Drosophila melanogaster: one gene and its partner. The protein of the gene in region 2 interacts with the protein of the main gene of each other region in a pairwise test. Each region holds a gene or a part of one and is shown on either strand. Other genes may lie near its edges. The genes, in order: DIP-iota and CG1943.

Region 1 (9,759 bases), on a different chromosome or scaffold from region 2:
TTACACGAAACACTAATAAATACTTTTCTTAACGAGGTTTTTACGATTTTAGTTAAACGGTTGACATTCTTATATATTTATATATATTCTATGAAAGTCGGCCTATCTTACATTTACCTGCAACATTTTAATTAAGCAACGTATCACTATAACTCACATTCTCTTTATAGCTTTATTACTAATAAAGTTAATATGAACTTATATATACCAATAATAATAACTGCAGTGTGAGCTCATAGAAAAAGCAAAGCAATCAGATAAGGTGCTTAATTCATTACGTGCCTACAAATTGATCAGCTAATCAATAAGCCCGATAAGACACGACCGATGCGATTGCAGCGAAATTGTGGCTTCTTGCAGTTTTATGAAGCAATAATATCATAAGTAAGGCAACTTTTAGCATTAGCAACTACGAAAATGAACGAATGTCAGTGGCAATGGGCCTGCTATGTCTTTTGGACCTTGTTCTCCCAACCACGCGTGTCTATAAATACAACCTTTATTGATCAAATAGCAACAGTCTCAAACCACCCTCGCTGGCAGGCTTGTGTTGAAGGTCTGGGACATGGGGCCACAACCTTGATGTGTGCAACGAGCCCAGCCGGCAACGATGTCACCGAATTCGTGTCGTGTTTTTAATTAATCAAAGTGGCAGGAGGGATATTATGTGAGACTGAGCACAGGAACAAGCAATCTAAGAAACGAGAAATGAAAACAATAGCTTAAATATTAAAGAAACTCTGTTTTTCTTGAATTACACAAGAAGGTATTGAGTAGAAAAAGCATTGCACTTTGTTAGAACGTATCTGGTCTAGTCTAAGAATAGTAACTTTATATTATAAACTCACTAACCCGCTGTGTTTCCATTTCTCTTGCAGCACACAAAACGCACCGGATGGGTGCTGCGTGATGTCAACGACTGCGAATCGATTTCGGGTCACATGTACAGGATGAGCATGCTAACCTTTCTGCTCGACGGCAGTGAGGGACTCAACCAGATACGCTGCATGGAACTGGCGCTGGTACACGATTTGGCAGAGAGTTTGGTGGGTGACATAACGCCATTCTGCGGGATATCCAAAGACGATAAGCGAGCCATGGAGTTCAAGGCGATGGAAGATATCTGCAAGCTGATCGAGCCTCGTGGCAAACGCATTATGGAGCTGTTTGAGGTGCGTTACGAAGCCAAGTTTACTCTTTGTGGGAAGCGTATTTATGTAATTCGAATTGCAGGAATACGAGCATGGACAGACTGCCGAGAGCAAGTTCGTCAAGGATTTGGATCGTCTGGATATGGTTATGCAGGCGTTCGAGTACGAGAAGCGGGACAATTGCCTTCTGAAGCACCAGGAGTTCTTCGACTCAACGGAGGGCAAGTTCAACCATCCGTTTGTTAAGAAGCTGGTCAACGAGATCTACGAGCAGAGGGATGTCCTGGCCAAGGCAAAGGGCGCCACACCACCGCCGGCCATCGAGGTGCCTAGCATGGAGAGATCTTCGAAACTTGCTAACGGGCATGACGGCTCGAGTTGAGCGTTATTCTAGAAACCCGTCTTAGGCTAGCACATGAACACATGAACACATCCTCACATACAAACCAACACGCTCTTAATTTGTAAGCCAATCCAACTAACAAACTGTTAAGCCTACCTCGACACGCTCATAGCTAGATCTAATTCTTAACTCACTAATTTATTGCGAAAGAAACGGAACAGATGCAACCGATGGGAAGTAGCTAAATATTAATGTTTAAATATTAACACACCTGTTGAACACGTCTCCTTAGTTCGATTTCCTCTAAGTTAAGCGTAAAGTTGCGGATCGAATTCTATCGATATATTCAATTGATCTGACTAAGGAATCCAATTGTAAATAACTTAAACGAATTGTAGACTATTTAGAAAAAAATTATTGTAAATGTTGTCCTAAAGCAATTTTATTCAGTCAACCGAACGTAAAAATCAAAACAAAAGATCAGAATCAAAATCAAATTAATTGATTTTTTTTTAATAGTTTGCTCACACGTGCGTTACTTTTACCCTTGAATCGAACAATTGTCACCAAAATTATTATTAATATAACATTGTGAATTAGGCAATATAAAGATGAAGTCACTCATTAGACGTGGCCAAAAGACAAAGCACACATTGTTTGATTGCTCACAAAAGTGACACTTTATTGACGAAACATAGAAACATTATCCAAAGCGGTTGGAAACTGCAGCTCTTATCAGACATATTTGCGATGTATTCTGCAATAAGATTTAGCTAGTTATCTTTATCGCGACTCTATTTATTGTAGAACAAACAAACCTTCGATGACAATGAACTGACTTTCGCGGGAGGAAGTTTGATGCGAGTGCTGTCCATGCTTCTTGGCCTTATCTGGTGGTCAACATTTGTTACATCTAAGGGATTAAGTAACCGAAATATAATCTCACTTACGGTGCACGGTTATAATCCGATCTGTCTGACCCATCGCATTCTTTGCCCTGCATATGTACTCTCCGAAATCTCTTTTCGTTATTGGACGCAGGGTGATCCGCATCACGATCCGGAAGACGTGGTCCACTGAGACCGACTCGTAGGAACCTCCTTGCAGCAATTGCGAATCCCTCAGCCAGAAGTTCACCGATGCCGGCTGCGATTCTGTGATGCACTCCAGCGTCAGCTTCTGGCCCAGGCCCACGTAGATGGTATCGTAGCGTGTCCAGATCGTGGGCGCAACTGAAAGATAACTCAGTATTATATATTGAATCCAACTCTTTGTTCACACATACAATTCACCACCAGCATGACGCGTTTGCTCACTGTGGGTGGCACTCCGTTGGAGGCGATGCAGAGATAGGCGCCCATGTGGGAGCGCTGCACCTGCCACAGGGTGAGATTCTGACCCTCCACGCTGAACACTTCCCGATCGCCGTCGTCTGAAATCAGTATCGGAGTCGCTTCCTCGCGACGCCAGGTGATGGTGGGCATGGGCACTCCCGTTGCACTGCAAGTGAGTGTTACGTTCTGTCCCGTGGAACGAACCACATCCTGACTGGTTTGATAGTCTACAATGTCTGGCGGCACCACCACATCCAGGTAGCCCATTTGGCTCTTCATGGGATCCGTGTTGATTTGGCACATGTACCTACGGTAAACGCTAGTAGAAGAATATGGTCCATCTATCTGATAGATACTTTCACTCACCATCCGCGATCCGATTCCTGAACATCGCGTATTTTTAGCTGCCAGATCCGATGCTCCGTGTGGGAGATGGAGATGCGATGGTTCTTGGTGATGACGTGGTTCTGGATGCTCAGTATCGTCTGCGTGTCCACTCGCAGCCAGGCCACCTTGAAGCTAACCAGGTCGTGGACAACACACGTGAGTAGGGCATCCCGTCCCACGGGAACTGTTGAGTTGTTGATTGGACCGCTGAACTTGGGATCCGCTGCAAAGGAAGATGGTGGCACCAAGCCCAATGGTTTGGCATTTATGGCTTTCATCATTAGGGCGCTAAATGGGGCGACGATATACAACTGCTGGGTGGCTTTTGGGGTGGTTTATGGGGCTTGCAAATGTGAGGCACTGGCATTTGCTGTATTTTAATGGAACTCAGACGCCAAACATTTAATTCAATTAAAAAATAACCTTTTTTTATGTGCAGCTTTTCTAATCCACAATTATCAGGATAATTATTTCATTTCTTATCCTCGCACATTTTTGCGTGTCTCTGCAGAATGTCAACGCAGACTAGGCCAAGTTTGTTGCCAGATGGCCCGCCGAAATGGTCAACGATATTTAAAATTGTTTAACGGCCATAAATTTCTTGAGGTTAACATTAGGCCGAGACAGCGGCAGATAATCCAATAATTAGATAAATTATAGATGTCAGCTACATTCTGGCAAAATAGAGTAGCTTCAACACTAACAAATTGTAAAACTAGCAAAACGAAGCTATTTTTGAATCAGTAAAATATGTTGATTATATTATATATATATAGAAACAATAGTTTTGAACATCATCTTAAACCTATGATTTGGTTATGGATTCTTTTCTGAGCACTTTTACTCAAAAATAGTACCTCATGTATTGTACATACATAATATTGAACAGCGGGATAGTTATGTTTTGATTTTATCGTAAATAATAGCATAAACACGTTGGGTTCACACACTATGAACTCAAACTACTGCTTTCCGGCGTGTTGTTGCTTCGGCCAACTCGAGTCCCATCGCAATAATTTTGAGTCAAGGTGCCCGACCGCAGGACTTCGACAGTTGCCGTCAGCCAATCTAACCACCAGAGTTCCAACCGCAAACCGAACCCACCCACACCATCGCAAACACAACAATGGGCTGGAGGCAGGAGTAATGGAAGAAATCACATCACATGCCTAACAAGTAGCACGACTCTGTGGCCAGGAGACGAGGAATCCAGTTCCAGCTACTGTTCCTGTTCCAGCAAACGCCTAAATTACAATTATGACCAAATAATAACCCGAAAAAATGCAAAAATCTAATAGAGCGCGGTATGTGTGTGTGTGTTGGTTGGGGGGCAGCAGGTGCTGGTACCTGGAAAATTGTAAAAAGCTGTGCTACACCTTTATGTATACCCCCCCCATCCACCACGAATTGATTGCGTTGTGTGGGGGGGGTATCCACCAAACTAGCATCAAATTGGGTAGCCTACGGATGCCATGCCATAGAGCCTATAATTTGCGATTATGTTTGGGTCTGGCCGCAAGTTGGGCGCTTTTTTTTTGGAGTCCGAGTCCGAAGGCTCCGCCTTCAGTTGCTCTGAGTGTGGGGAACGAGGCGCCATTGTTTGACTGCCTTCAGTTGATATGGTTTCTGTTTTTGTTGGTATTGCAATTTGGTTATTGCATGTTTGCATATTGAAACATTCCGAAGAAAGGGACGAGCGAGACTTTTTAAGCCATAAAACACAAACGTACTTTGCACTGGAAATAAAAGTATAATAAGCTAAAGAACTAATATAAAAAAAACAAAAATTTCAATAATATATTTGCATCAACAGATTTTGATTAGATTTTTTATGCATAAAGGAGCAATGAACATAAAACGCTAACAAAACTACAAGGTAAGTAATTATGTATAATATCTTACTTTTGATTTCTACTTTTGAAATTATTCTGAGTGTACTCATACATGTGTGTTCATATAGTTAAACTTTTCTTCTTTTATTTATGTCTGCAAGGTAGCGTAATTTAGCATTTAACTTTTTCGCCACCGCACCGCCTTTGTTGTTGCCACATTTTATAAGGGGAAATTGACTATGAGTTGTTAAATATATTTTCCTGTTTTCTTGCACGACTTGTATCGCTGGAATCGCTTGAATCGCTCGGCCAGGACTTAAGCCGCATTTTCCCCGCGAAGTCGCTGCAAATCCGGCCGTGTCCTTTCCCCACGCCACTTGAACTTGAAACGGAAAGTGAATGTCCTGTCTCCTGTTAGACACTCCAGCTGTCTGCCGGCGAAAGGAATCACAATCACAATCAGCACGCAATGTCTGCCAAAAAGTTAAGTAAAAACTGCGAAATAACCCACTGCAGTGGCAGTTCCACACCCGCAACCGCCAACCGAAAAACGCGGCACTTCAGCGGCAGAAACCGCCGGCCAGGAATAGAAAAAAAAATGAAACGAAAATATCGCAGAGTGCAATAGGAAGTGGGAAAACGTCGCCTTTCCGCGACTGTCTGTCTGCCTGCCCGCTGTGCGGTGGGTGGTGGGTGGTGGGAGTTGGTTGGTTGGCACGGAACATCGTGCGGTGCGGTGCATCATCACTCCTTTGAGCCACTTCTCACTTTCTTATCGCACGCTGCGGCTAGCCTGCCAATATTTATGTTTACTTTGCATCTGGCACATTGATTTAAATGCGAATTTTGTCGAATTTTGATATATTTATCGCATTTGGCTCGCCAAAGTCAAGGAAAATTTGTTTTGTTTTTTTTATTCGGCGCACATTTTCCCCAGCGGAAGTTACCCCTCGTTACTCTTTCGCAGCTCTCCACCGGAAACCCCTCTGCCCGCTCCCTTTCCCTATCACCGCCATCCTGTCTGTCCCGTCTGGGGAATATGTTGGCCACAGTTTATTCACTTATGGACTCGTTGGACTTCCGATTACCAGCTACCTTCCATTTTATACGCTACCACTCCGGCTTTAGATAGTTTGCAGTCAATTAGCTGTACACTTTTGGGTTCATCATTTCGTGTTGGCGGGTTACAAAAGTTCAGCTTGTAAACAGGATACTTTTTAATTGTACAACATTCAAAAAACGTCATATTAATCGAGAAAAACTATCCTTAAAATGTTTAATTTAATATTTAATGGGTTATGCATTTCATTCAAAGTAAATCTTATATTTCTGACTAATTTCATTATTAGCAATCAGATTTATTTATCCTTTAGTTAATCACATCCTCGATCCACTTACAATTGTTTAGCTCCGAAAAGCTGGCCTGGCTGAAACACACGCTCTGCAGGAGCAGCAGCCAAAAGCTGGGCAATCGCCTTCCCATAGCCGAAAACTCAACCGCAATCAAGGTGCGAAACTTTTGAATATTTGCTGATTTCCCACTTTAATTTTTAACTCTGCCACTTTCACTGCCCAAATGGCCGAAGTTCAACTTCCGCCGCAACAGCGCAAATGTATTTTTTCCGCTTCTGCGGATGAAGTTTTTTCCGCCGATTGCCGTGGCCAAACGTCCGCACACCCGTACAACTGGTCGCGAACTGATAATCAAGTGTCAAAACTCATATTCAAAATTCAAATGCGGCACTGGCGTTGCGCATGTGTCCTGCGGCCTTGCGAAGGTAGTGGGTGGTGGTTGGGTGGTTCTAGTGTGTCTAGTGGGTATGGTTGTAGCCCAGTAGTAGTCAAGGTGCCCGGCAGCCGAAAGACGGTGCTGTGCAATAGTAAATGTTTCATTCATAAACCGCCCGACGTAATATTTTCATATGCACGTGACGATATGAAGTATACGACATGTTGCCGGGGGAAAGTGACACATTATTGGTGATTTTTTTGTGGGCGGCGGAGAATAAAGGCCAACTCCAATACCATTCTAATTAACCCCGAAATGCCGCGCATCTTCTGCCCAACTTTCACCCGTATCCCCCATATCCCTCCGGATTCCAGCTGCTGCTCCTCTGCTTTTCTGCGATGCTTGCACTTCCAACTGGCTTGGTTTGCATGTGTGAGCTTCTCGGTAAGTTGGCATTAAGTTCGCACCGCTATTTGCGCACAATTAGCGCTTTTCAATAGCGATAACAATAATCATAATAAGCACGTGGAATTTGCTTGATTGTTGTTTTCCCTAGGGGCACATCTTTTGCTGGCCCATGCAAGTTTCTCTTCGTTTCTTCATTCTGGCCTCTGAGTCAGAGCCTCTGTCTTAATTAAATAATATTTTGCTAAAATTTGAGTGTGTTTTTATGCAATCTTGAAGTCTAAGTGATTGATAAATCCTACCTTTGTTTCATAATTTGATTAGTCAGCAAAATAAACTTACGTTTTAGAGTATCTGAATGGCAATACGTACATTAGATTGCCTTGACTAGTTATGTATATTTTTAAAATAGACTTAAATTCAAGAATTGTTAGTTTAGTGGATTTAACATACTTTTTCATTATTTAAAAATTATTTATTTAAAAAACTGCCGATAATTTCAAATTGTTTCTGCTTGATGTATAATAAAGCCTTTCAAATAAACTTTCCTTACTTTTACTTACACATGAAAAGTATGTGTCTTGGCTAACTGTGTAGAAACTCGAAATCAAATTTCGAAAAAGCAAACAGAAATGGTTTACAACTCCGATGTTACCTAACAATAAAATTATGGCGGTGTATAACTTTGCTAAAAGTTATAGTGTTGTGTAGCGCTGTTAAAAGAAGTAAGCGAATTTACAACTATTTTTTGAAACAAGAATCACTCATGAAATATGTTCTATGAGGCTTGTTAGGGAAATACTAAATTATATTAAGCTAAATATACAAACAGTGTATATGTGTAACTTAAGTGTATCAATCACCGCAGCATTTAAAATAGGCCTGACGAATAAGCGATATAAATCAATTTAAAATGTAGTATCTTCGTTAGGAAATGAAAAAATATAGTTTTCGCAGCAGAATGTTGCTAAGATCATTTCATTATATTCTGCTGAACTGGATTTTATTATTCCTATTCACAGTTTGCAAAGCAAAGAAAGCCGAAAATGATGTAGTACAGGAAGTAATATACTCAAATTCCATTCGAGCCCTGTCTGAACTTCGCGAGATTGAGAATTCCTATATGGAGCATTTAAACAACTATGTTAGCTTTCTGCAACAAAAAATCAAAACTCTCAGAATGTATGATATATATTTTAATTCCTCTCTTAAAACTAGAATTACACTTTAACTTTCACATAGTTTTATTAATTCTTTAACTCCGAATTATTTGGATCACAAGGTGGATCGATATAAATATGTGTCCAATCCCCTAAATTCCTTTGGACTTTTAAGGCGGGCTCATCAAGATTGGCCCAAGTTGATTGCTTACTTAAAGGATCAAGGAAATATAAAAGGTGTGGATTATATACAATGTTTGCACGTTTTCTCAATTTCAAGGGAAGCTAAAAGTACATTTTTGTATTTTATCACTTAAATATGAAACAACAGGCTATTGGTTTATTTAAATATTTTACAGTTGACATCGAGGAAATGAATAAGCTAATCAATCGTACACCCCACGCAAATGATATGGAAGAGGCCCTAATGGGAATGGATAGAATAGAACACTTCTACGACCTGAAGTCATCGGATATGGCCCAGGGTCTTGTGGCAGGTCAACAGCTAAGGTAAGATAACTTAGTTTTAACACTATTAGATAATAATGATAACAATTCTATAGTTCGCGAATGTCAGCTTCCGACTGCTTGGCTTTAGCAGACTATATGTACAAACGATCAGAATTTAGACGTGCGGCTGAATGGTATCGAATAGCTTTAAGTGTCTTCACCAAACCAAAAAATAATATTGCATTTAAGTTCTATGCTCCAAAACGAAAAGAGCTCGAAAAAATGTTTGTCATAAGTCGGCTTCAAGAAGGCAAGTTCAAAGAAGCAATAATATTGGTGTTTATAAATAATTATTTACCATCAGGTTCCGTTGAAAACTTAACTGACTGTCTGAAGGAACTTTCTCAAGACCCGAACAATTCATTGGTGCATCTAAGGCCAAGGAAATCGCCCACTATGATTGAACAGGGCTGCCAGGGAAAGTTTCCACCAGGACCTCAACTAGTGTGTCGCTATAATAGCACCACCACTCCATTTATGCGAATAGCTCCTCTAAAGGAGGAGGAGATCAGCAGAGACCCACTTATCTGGTTATATCACGACGTGATCTATGACAGTGAGATAGCTCAGTTGACGAATGTGACCCGAGAGGAGATGATTCTGGGCACCACCACAAACTATACGACTCCAGATCGGGTGAATCGTCTCTTTCACATTAAAGTCACCGACGACGATGGCGGAAAGTTGGACAAAACGTTGGTAAATCGTATGGCAGACATATCTGGCCTGGATGTGGGCAATACCACCACACTGGCCAGAATCAATTATGGACTTGGTGGTTATTTCCAAGAACACAGTGATTACATGGACATTAAGCTTTATCCGGCAAGTAACCTGATTCATTTAAGTGTATATTATTCATTATATCGCTAGATCATACACAACTATTAGGAACTGACTGAGGAAGG
Region 2 (8,233 bases):
AAAGCAAAGCGCCAGCAACTAAATCTAAAAAGTTTGAAGATGACCTGGTTGCTGGTTGCCGAAAATCTGCAACCACTCTGGAAAATAAAGTCCGTTTATACAAAGCCATACTAAACTTATACCAGCAATTCAAATATTTAGATTCTACAACGCTACCAATCAAAAATATTAAGACAAATTGTTGATGCTCAATTTTTATTTCAAATGCAAGTATCCATAAAGACTTAGGAATCCCTTATGTTAAAGAAGAAATAGCAAAACATATTAAAAAATATATAGACAGACTAAGAACACATGAAAATAACTTAGCCTTAAGTTTGGTAAAACGTAATAACAACGTCAGAAGACTTAAAAGATTTTACGTGCTAGACCTCCCTGACAGGTTTTAAGTATTAAAACATGTTATGCCTAGAGTATGTAGTAGGGATTAATGGATAACTACTGCCTCTGTTAATATAAGATTAATTATAAAATGTACTTATTGTCATACTTTTTTAAGACAGATTGTAAATAAAAAGAGAGAAAAAAAAAACTTAGATGGGAGGTAATCATTCCAAATAATTTTCCAAGATCATAGTCATTTTAATCACAACATTTAATCACAACATTATTATAATCACATATTTATTATGGTTCTAAACATTTTCAAAAGTGGATATTTCCCATATTATTAGGATATTTCGTGAATATGAATTATAATAATTTTTAATGTTATGTTATATTTTATGTTTATATAATTTCCGTATTTACCCTATTTCGCCGTTTCATTTTCGTTGACAACTCGTTGTCGTCGTTATCTTGACGCACACCGTTATTCAACACTTTTTTCCTCTGAACCAATATGGCGATTGTGTAGATCTGTGTGCGTCGTTTTTGCAAAGTTTTGTGAAATTCCACGCGCTCCTCCTTAAAAAAAAAACGCTTTAAACACATTCTTCAGTAGCAAGCAGAGACCCAATCTTTCCCTTGACTTTAAACGATCTCCAAGTAGTCAATACAGCACGCAATAAGCAAGATGGTGGACAAAATTGAAATGAGCCTCGACGACATCATTAAGTCCACACGCTCGCAAAAAAAGCCGCAAGCCGCCCGCGGCGGACCAGGTGGCGCCCGAAAAACGGGCGGACAGCAGCGTTTTGCTGGTGGAGCCCGCCGCGGCGGAGCCAATGCCGGCGGCTCGCCCAGGAAGCCAGGAAGCGTGCTCAAGGGCCCGCGAGGAGGAGTGGCCGCCGGAGCCGTTCAGAAGGCCAAGTTCCCACGGGTAATTCATTGCGTTTCAATGGCCAAACGGAGCAGCCGGAGCAGACCATCCCCGTGCTCAGTTCACCAGGACAGAGCACTACCAAAGCAAGTGTCTTGCGGCCCATGATCCGCACAACAGTGCTTGGAAGCGAAAAACAGACTCAGAATCTAAACCAAAATCAAAATGGCCACCATGCGCCTTCCAACGGACGGAACAACTCTTCGAGCCCGAGCAGAGCCTCAAGTTCAAGTTCCTTTAACCCCGTTTTTACAGAATACCAAACAGACGACACCTGTGTCTTAACTTATTTTTCCTCACGTCTCACGCCTCACGTTTTCCACGTGAACCATACCCAGTTAACAAGCATTTCTAGTGTCTCCGCTCAATATGGCTGTCCTCTCTTGTGGCTAGGATACGATGCAACTGCTACTGCAACGGCTACTCCCGCCACATACATATAGTTGATACGCGCAGCGTTCGAAGACATACCCATCTACCTTCTACCTAATACTACCCCCACCTCTAGGGCGATGTGAACAGCGCTTGGAAGCACGATATGTACGACGGACCGAAGAGGGGTGCCGTCGGTGGAGGATCTGGACCCACCCGCCTCATCGTCGGTAACCTGGACTACGGCGTATCCAACACGGACATCAAGGAGCTCTTCAACGACTTTGGTCCGATAAAGAAGGCGGCAGTGCACTACGATCGCTCCGGTCGCTCGTTGGGTAAGTGCTAGTACTACTCCAGCTACCTGTCGTTAGGTGAAACATTTCGGTACATGCTGTTCATAAAATGGCGGCAGAATGGTTCAGTAACAGACATTCCAAGTAATATAAATCGGCTTGAATTGATAACAGATCAGATCATCCGATGAAGCTGCGGTTTTTATTTAGTATTTTGATTTATGCCGAAATTTAAAGCTATTGCCATGTATTTGATTTATTCACTTTTCTTTGCAGGCACCGCTGACGTGATTTTCGAACGTCGCGCCGACGCCTTGAAGGCCATTAAACAGTACCATGGCGTACCTTTGGACGGACGCCCTATGACCATTCAGCTGGCCGTCTCAGACGTGGCCGTGTTGACCCGTCCCGTAGCCGCCACCGATGTCAAGCGTCGCGTGGGTGGTACTGCACCAACTTCATTCAAGCGTGGTGGTGCGTATCCAAAATGCTACAGCAGGGACCGTGAATGATGCCCATTTTCGTTTATTTTTACCACAAACATCGTTCATTTAAAACTATTTCAGATCAATTTTGGATCTATCCCCATTCCCACAAAGATTTTTAAATGCCTATTTATTTCGATTACCTAGTATGTCTTAGGTTTCAAATTTTGTTACTTGACTTTTTATACGAAATACTTTCCTTTCTTTGTTATGTTTTCTTGTCAACAGCTTTTGTAATTATTCAAACTTTTGTTTCGATTTAATACGATGTTTGTTGGGTAAACTACGTTACTAGGTCAGTTCCACATATGAAAGCTTACCTTTCTATAATGACCATGATACGGTCCCATGACGATCCATCCTTGCTCCAATGCTTACACTATCATTCCGAACTGTTTTTTAGGTGGCCAAGCTGGTGGCACGGCGCGTCGCGGCTTCAAACGTCCGGTCGGTGGCAAGCCGGCGGCAGGCGGCCAGCGACGGGAGCGCAAGGCCCCGCCCACTGCTGAGGAGCTGGACGCCGAACTGGACTCATACATCAACGACATGAAGATCTAAATAGTGAATAGTCTGAATTAGTCTAACAAGAATAGAAGAGCAGCCCAATCTATAGTTTTAAGCCTACCATATGGACACCCCCCGCATGGTACATAAATGCAAACGCATCGACAACGCCGCGCCCAGGAGCAGATCTTTGAAAGCATCGGACATCAAATCAATCAACCACTTGCGCATTTATCCATTAATTGTTAGTTTTGCCAATGCGGCGGATGTTAAGATAACTGAAATACATTTGATGCTGTATTTATTGTATTTAGAAATGCGCTTTATCAAGTTCGACGATAAATTGATGGACCTTGTCAAATTAAACTGAATTGTAATAAATACTAGAATTAATTTCGTGACCAAATCGAATTGTATTTACTGACTCAATAGGCTAGGAGTATTGTTTAATTACTAGGCGGCGGCGGACTCCGAAGAATCTCCATCAACTTGCAAAAATAAAAGAGCCATCACTTACAATTAAATGTTTTATTTGGAGTAATACATCGATGGTTATATTGGTATTCGTTTGGACGAATTTTACAGACTATAAGAAGATTCGATTGGACACTTTAAGTACAAATGCTAAATTAGGCTTAGTAGGTGGTAGATTTTAGCAAAGTCAATCCATATCATCCGTATTTGTGGGGCGGAATCACGAGTTACTTAATTTCAACAATTTCGTTAGACATTTTAAACCTGTTACTTAGACAATAGAACAAATGTGGGACATGAAAATGAAAGGGCGAAAGGAAGAACGACTTGGAGTGCTGCTTGGCAAAATATAATCAGTTTCCCTTCTTCTTCGGCTGATCAGCAGGTTAATATAGGTAATGCGCCTCTAAATATAGGTGTATACGTATGTTATAAGCGAGTTATGTATATTTATAGTTTTATGATTCTTATGTCGGTCTGAGGATGTGATGGTGAGTCATTAAATGCTTGGCAGCTGCTTCTGCTCCCGGGCACACTTCCTTCCCTCCTTCCTCCCTCTACCAGAATCCGCCCGACGAGAATCCGCCGGGTGGAACTCGGCCGCGTGCCTCTCCATTTGTGGCCGCTGGTTTGTTCGCCGGCTCCTTGGGCTGGCTGGGTGGGGCGGACTTGGCCTCCTCCTTCTGGATGGAGACCTCTTCGCGAATTTTCTCCACCACCTTGTTGGGATCCGTGGAGCCCATGCAGGCATTGAGGTTTGAGGAGTTCTGTTGGTTGTACTTGGCACGCGGGGCGGGAACGGCCACGTCGGGCTCCGAGAAGATATTGGTGTGTCCGCCGCCTGGGGGCTTCAGCACTCGGCTGGAGGGACGGGCACTGGTGGTCAGGCCGATTTTCAGCTCGGTGGATGTCATTTTGTCGCTGCTGGTTGTGGTTTCAGTGACTGCAATGCATAACAATGAAAAGTGAATCAGATGCGGTCGGAAATACGAGTACCCTAGACTACAAATTCAGTCACGCCACTTGCGGATGTGACGCCCGGCACAATGACGCCCGTCATCCGACATCACCCCACCACTGGCAAATCTTGGCGAAGTGGAGTGAAAACGAGAGACCCATTTGTTCTGCCCTTCTGCCACCTTATCGACGGTTTCTCTACACACATATGTATGTATGTATGTATATAGAAACTCATCTATTTTTCTTGCTGCGCTGCCCTCAACTTTTTAACTTTGCCGTTAACTGTAATTGCGCGTTTTGTGGCTGTCGCACTTTCGTTGTTGTTTTTGCCATTGTTCATTTCTCCGTTTTTGTGTTAGGCGTTCGCACAGTGGGCTCAAAAAGTGCGTTTGGGCATTGACCATTGACTACAGTTCAAACAATAAAGTCCTTTGGTGATATAAAGTGCCAATAGTCAGAGTGGTCAATTAAGAAACTAATTAAGTTAATAGAAAGTGGGTTATATGTATATATGAAAATAATATGCTTTACATATCATCTATAAAACACACTTCCTCGCATCCAAGATGCAAATGACAAATATTAGTTTCGTAATGATTTTTTGCCTCGCTTATGGCGGAAAAGAGGTCGCCTCCCAGGCGATGACATCTGAGGCAAGTGCGGTGAAGAAGCATTTGTAATGATGCGTCATCCGCTGGGGGAGGCACATTCCGCCCAACTCCCGCCTGGGGTGTATCCCATTTGGGGTGGCTGTTGGCGACAACAACAAACACAGGCCACACACACTGGCAATTTTGTTGGGGTACGGGAAAACAAAGCAATGTGAATGACCGCACCGAGTCAAAGATCTCTAGATTAGAAGGCTCACAAGCGATTTCGATTCCCACAGTTGAACGCTTTCCACCTGGGCAAAAAACACTACCAACGTACTGCACAGAACAAAATACGGTCGCATCTAAATTTATTATGATGAATCGAATGGATATCTAAAATTTTATTTACATAACTAAAACAACACCAAAGAGAGAGAGATAGATATAAGGCGTAACAATGAAAACAAATTAGCTGGCAAAAAATGACATCGTACAAGCATTTTCTCTCAGTGCAGAAAGGCAATAACAGAGACTGATTGCCGTGTTCCCTTTCCACTGTACTTGTTGTTTTTGCTTCCCTAGGGCGATTGCCGGCTCTCACACACACACATCTGCATGCATACGAGAATCACATTAACTGTGCTTTCTACTTGTATTGGTGCTGAAATTATGAGTAATGAGCAATCTGGTTAAAACTCGAAATTTCGGCCTGCTGCCATCGCCGCGACTTGTTGACCAAGTGAATGTTTATGGCCAAAACACATTAGACAAATCCAGTTTCGGCAGACCTACTTAAAACGTATCATCGATTAGACTAAAAACGGCGATGCACACGGAAACTGGCCGACCAGAAAGCGAAGTAAACAACAGCCACTTCAAGAGCAGGCTACTGAGATTCGGTTCAAACTGCTTTCGGTTAGTTTTTCGTACCTAGGTGCATGCAATAATCGCCTGACTAAAGCGAAGCACTCAGAACCCGAACAATATGGCCGCCCAAAAGGAGCGGCAGCCGGAGATTGCCCCGTCGTGGGCCATAGCCCAAAAGACCGAGCCACAAACCGGGAATCTTCCACTTCCACAGAGGATGTGTTATTTATAATGCATATGGCAGCTGTGCTAAATAAAATTCAAAAGCAGCTGCACTCACACAAACGCACGCACACACAGACAGCGCTTGCGCTCGGTGTACGAAATTCCATGACACAAGTGAAAAGTGTTGGTCTGCGAAAATATTGATTTATCTCGCAAACCCGCTGTCAACCAACTATCTGTGGGCCCAGCATGTCGACACCCAAGTCACGCTTACCTTGGAAGGACTCCGGAATACGGCTCTACTCGAAGAAGTCTGGCTTTAACTTTGCGAATAAGAGATGCGGAAACGACGCGCACTTGCCAACGAACGTTGATTTCAAATATGGTGTAAAGTGACCGGAGCAGAGTATTGGAATTAACCGAAAATCTGTCTTCTGTTCGTAGGGGAAGCTTTTCTAGTCTGGTCCCATTTGATATAACAGCAGTGTATCCTGGCACTGTTAAGTGTCGAGATTGCTCAACACGCCATCTATGAAAGAGAATTGCAACTTTTGAAAAAAAGTACTTCATTACTGTTTAATAACTAAATCTAAATCATAGACGTTCATTACTATATCATCTCGGTTGTTGATCAGTACAAGATTATTTATGCTGAATTATGCTTTGACTTCTAGTTTTTATATTTTTATTTAAACGCCCTGTAGCTGAGTAACGGGTATGTTGTAATCGATATTTTTCTTGAATATCAGATTCAAGACATTAGCCTCGTGTTCAACCAGTGCATTGACTGAAACCAGTGAAACCACCTTGTGAGCAGTAAGGTCACACTTGAGTTTTGTTGACGTTTCATTTTAGGTTTTTTCAGATTGCATCTAAGCAGTCTAATATCTTTATCTTTACTATCGCAGCGAATCATAACAAGATGGGTAGTGACTGGGACGAGATCAAGCGCTTGGCCGCCGACTTTCAGAAGGCGCAGCTCACGTCTACGCTGCAGAAGTAAGGCGAAGCTCTCCTATTTTACTGCTTTACGTTTTCACATTTGTTACATTACCAATTTCGTAGGCTCTCGGAGCGAAACTGCGTGGAGATCGTCACGCTGCTGCTGGAGAAGCAGATGCTGGAGGTGGTGTTCACCAACGATGGCAAGGAGTACATCACGCCGGATCATCTGGAGCGCGAGATCCAGGACGAGTTGTACGTGAACGGAGGTCGTGCCAACTTGGTGGAGGTCAGCAAAACCCTAAATGTGGATTTATCACGAATCGAGCTGCTTGCCGAACGAATATCTGCGGAGAATCAAAGCGTACACCTGGTACTGGGACAGCTAATCGACGAGGACTACATCAGTCATATTGCGCAGGAGATCAACGAGAAGCTGGTTCAGCGAGGAGAGGTTTCCATTTCGGAATTGGCTTCCCAGTTCGATCTGCCGTCGGACTTCCTGCAACACGACGTGGTCGAAAAGCATCTAGGTAAGATTATTAAGGGTCGCCAGGATGCCTCAAATCCGCGGGTGTTCTTCACTCAGGCCTACATCCAACGTTGCAAAGCGAAGATTCGGGGAGCCCTGGCCGCCATTACCAGGCCCATAAATGTGGCTGTGATTCTTCAGAAGATCGGTGTGCAGGAGAAGATCTTCTACTCGTTGCTGGACGAAATCGCGCCAGCTGGCCAGGTTACCTCCAAGCAGGCCAACTCCCAATACGTGCCGCACATCTATGCCAAGACGCAGGCTGACTGGGTGAACTCGTTCTACAAGCAGAACAGCTTCCTTGAGTATGATGCCATTCAAAAGCTGGGAATTTCGGATGCCAAGTCCTACATTCGCAAGCAGTTCCCCAACGAAGAGTTTCTCTACCTCAAGCGTGTGGCCCTTGGCGCTCGACTGGTGGAGCTCACGGTGGTCACGGCGCTAAATGAGTGCAGTGCCACCAAGCAGTACCTGGATCTGACCACCATACTTCCATCGAATCTGTCCGAGGAGGATATCGAGGAGGTTTTCAGCACCATCATGGCCCAAAAGCATAGCAATCCCAGCAACTTTGTTTATCTTGATGGCATTGGTACGTACTTGAGTTACTCTTTTTTAATTTCATTACAACGAATATGTTACTTTTAGTATTTTCGCAACCATACCTCGCGCAATTGGTTCAGCCGTGTCAAGCGTTGGCAGAGTCTCAGGCCAAGGCGGCCATCGATGGCGGCGTATACCAGCAGTACATTGTGGAGAAGACGCTAGCGCAAAAGGGAAAC

What was found.
Region 1: the proteins of CG1943 (region 2) and DIP-iota interact in a two-hybrid assay, tested with the Drosophila melanogaster proteins (one large-scale study listed by BioGRID).

The regions. Positions count from the first base shown.
Region 1 is NT_033779.5:6,614,981-6,624,739, forward strand, and holds DIP-iota (Dpr-interacting protein iota), read right to left. Parts: upstream 6,721-9,759; 5' UTR 6,531-6,720; coding exon 6,446-6,530; intron 4,467-6,445; exon of another isoform or gene 4,100-4,466; intron 3,439-4,099; coding exon 3,195-3,438; intron 3,136-3,194; coding exon 2,780-3,135; intron 2,727-2,779; coding exon 2,445-2,726; intron 2,385-2,444; coding exon 2,313-2,384; intron 2,252-2,312; coding exon 2,160-2,251; 3' UTR 2,154-2,159; downstream 1-2,153. Other genes in the region: CG11050 (uncharacterized protein), read left to right, coding at 879-1,172, 1,234-1,533; CG34345 (uncharacterized protein), read left to right, coding at 8,143-8,363, 8,424-8,578, 8,701-8,851, 8,905-9,101, 9,156-9,676, 9,743-9,759.
Region 2 is NT_033777.3:7,072,992-7,081,224, reverse strand, and holds CG1943 (uncharacterized protein), read right to left. Parts: upstream 6,367-8,233; 5' UTR 6,252-6,366; exon of another isoform or gene 5,738-6,251; intron 4,478-5,737; exon of another isoform or gene 4,336-4,477; 5' UTR 4,307-4,335; coding exon 3,950-4,306; 3' UTR 3,244-3,949; downstream 1-3,243. Other genes in the region: Ref1 (RNA and export factor binding protein 1), read left to right, coding at 1,016-1,261, 1,770-1,971, 2,206-2,403, 2,818-2,972; Ufl1 (UFM1 specific ligase 1), read left to right, coding at 6,900-6,976, 7,043-8,043, 8,100-8,233.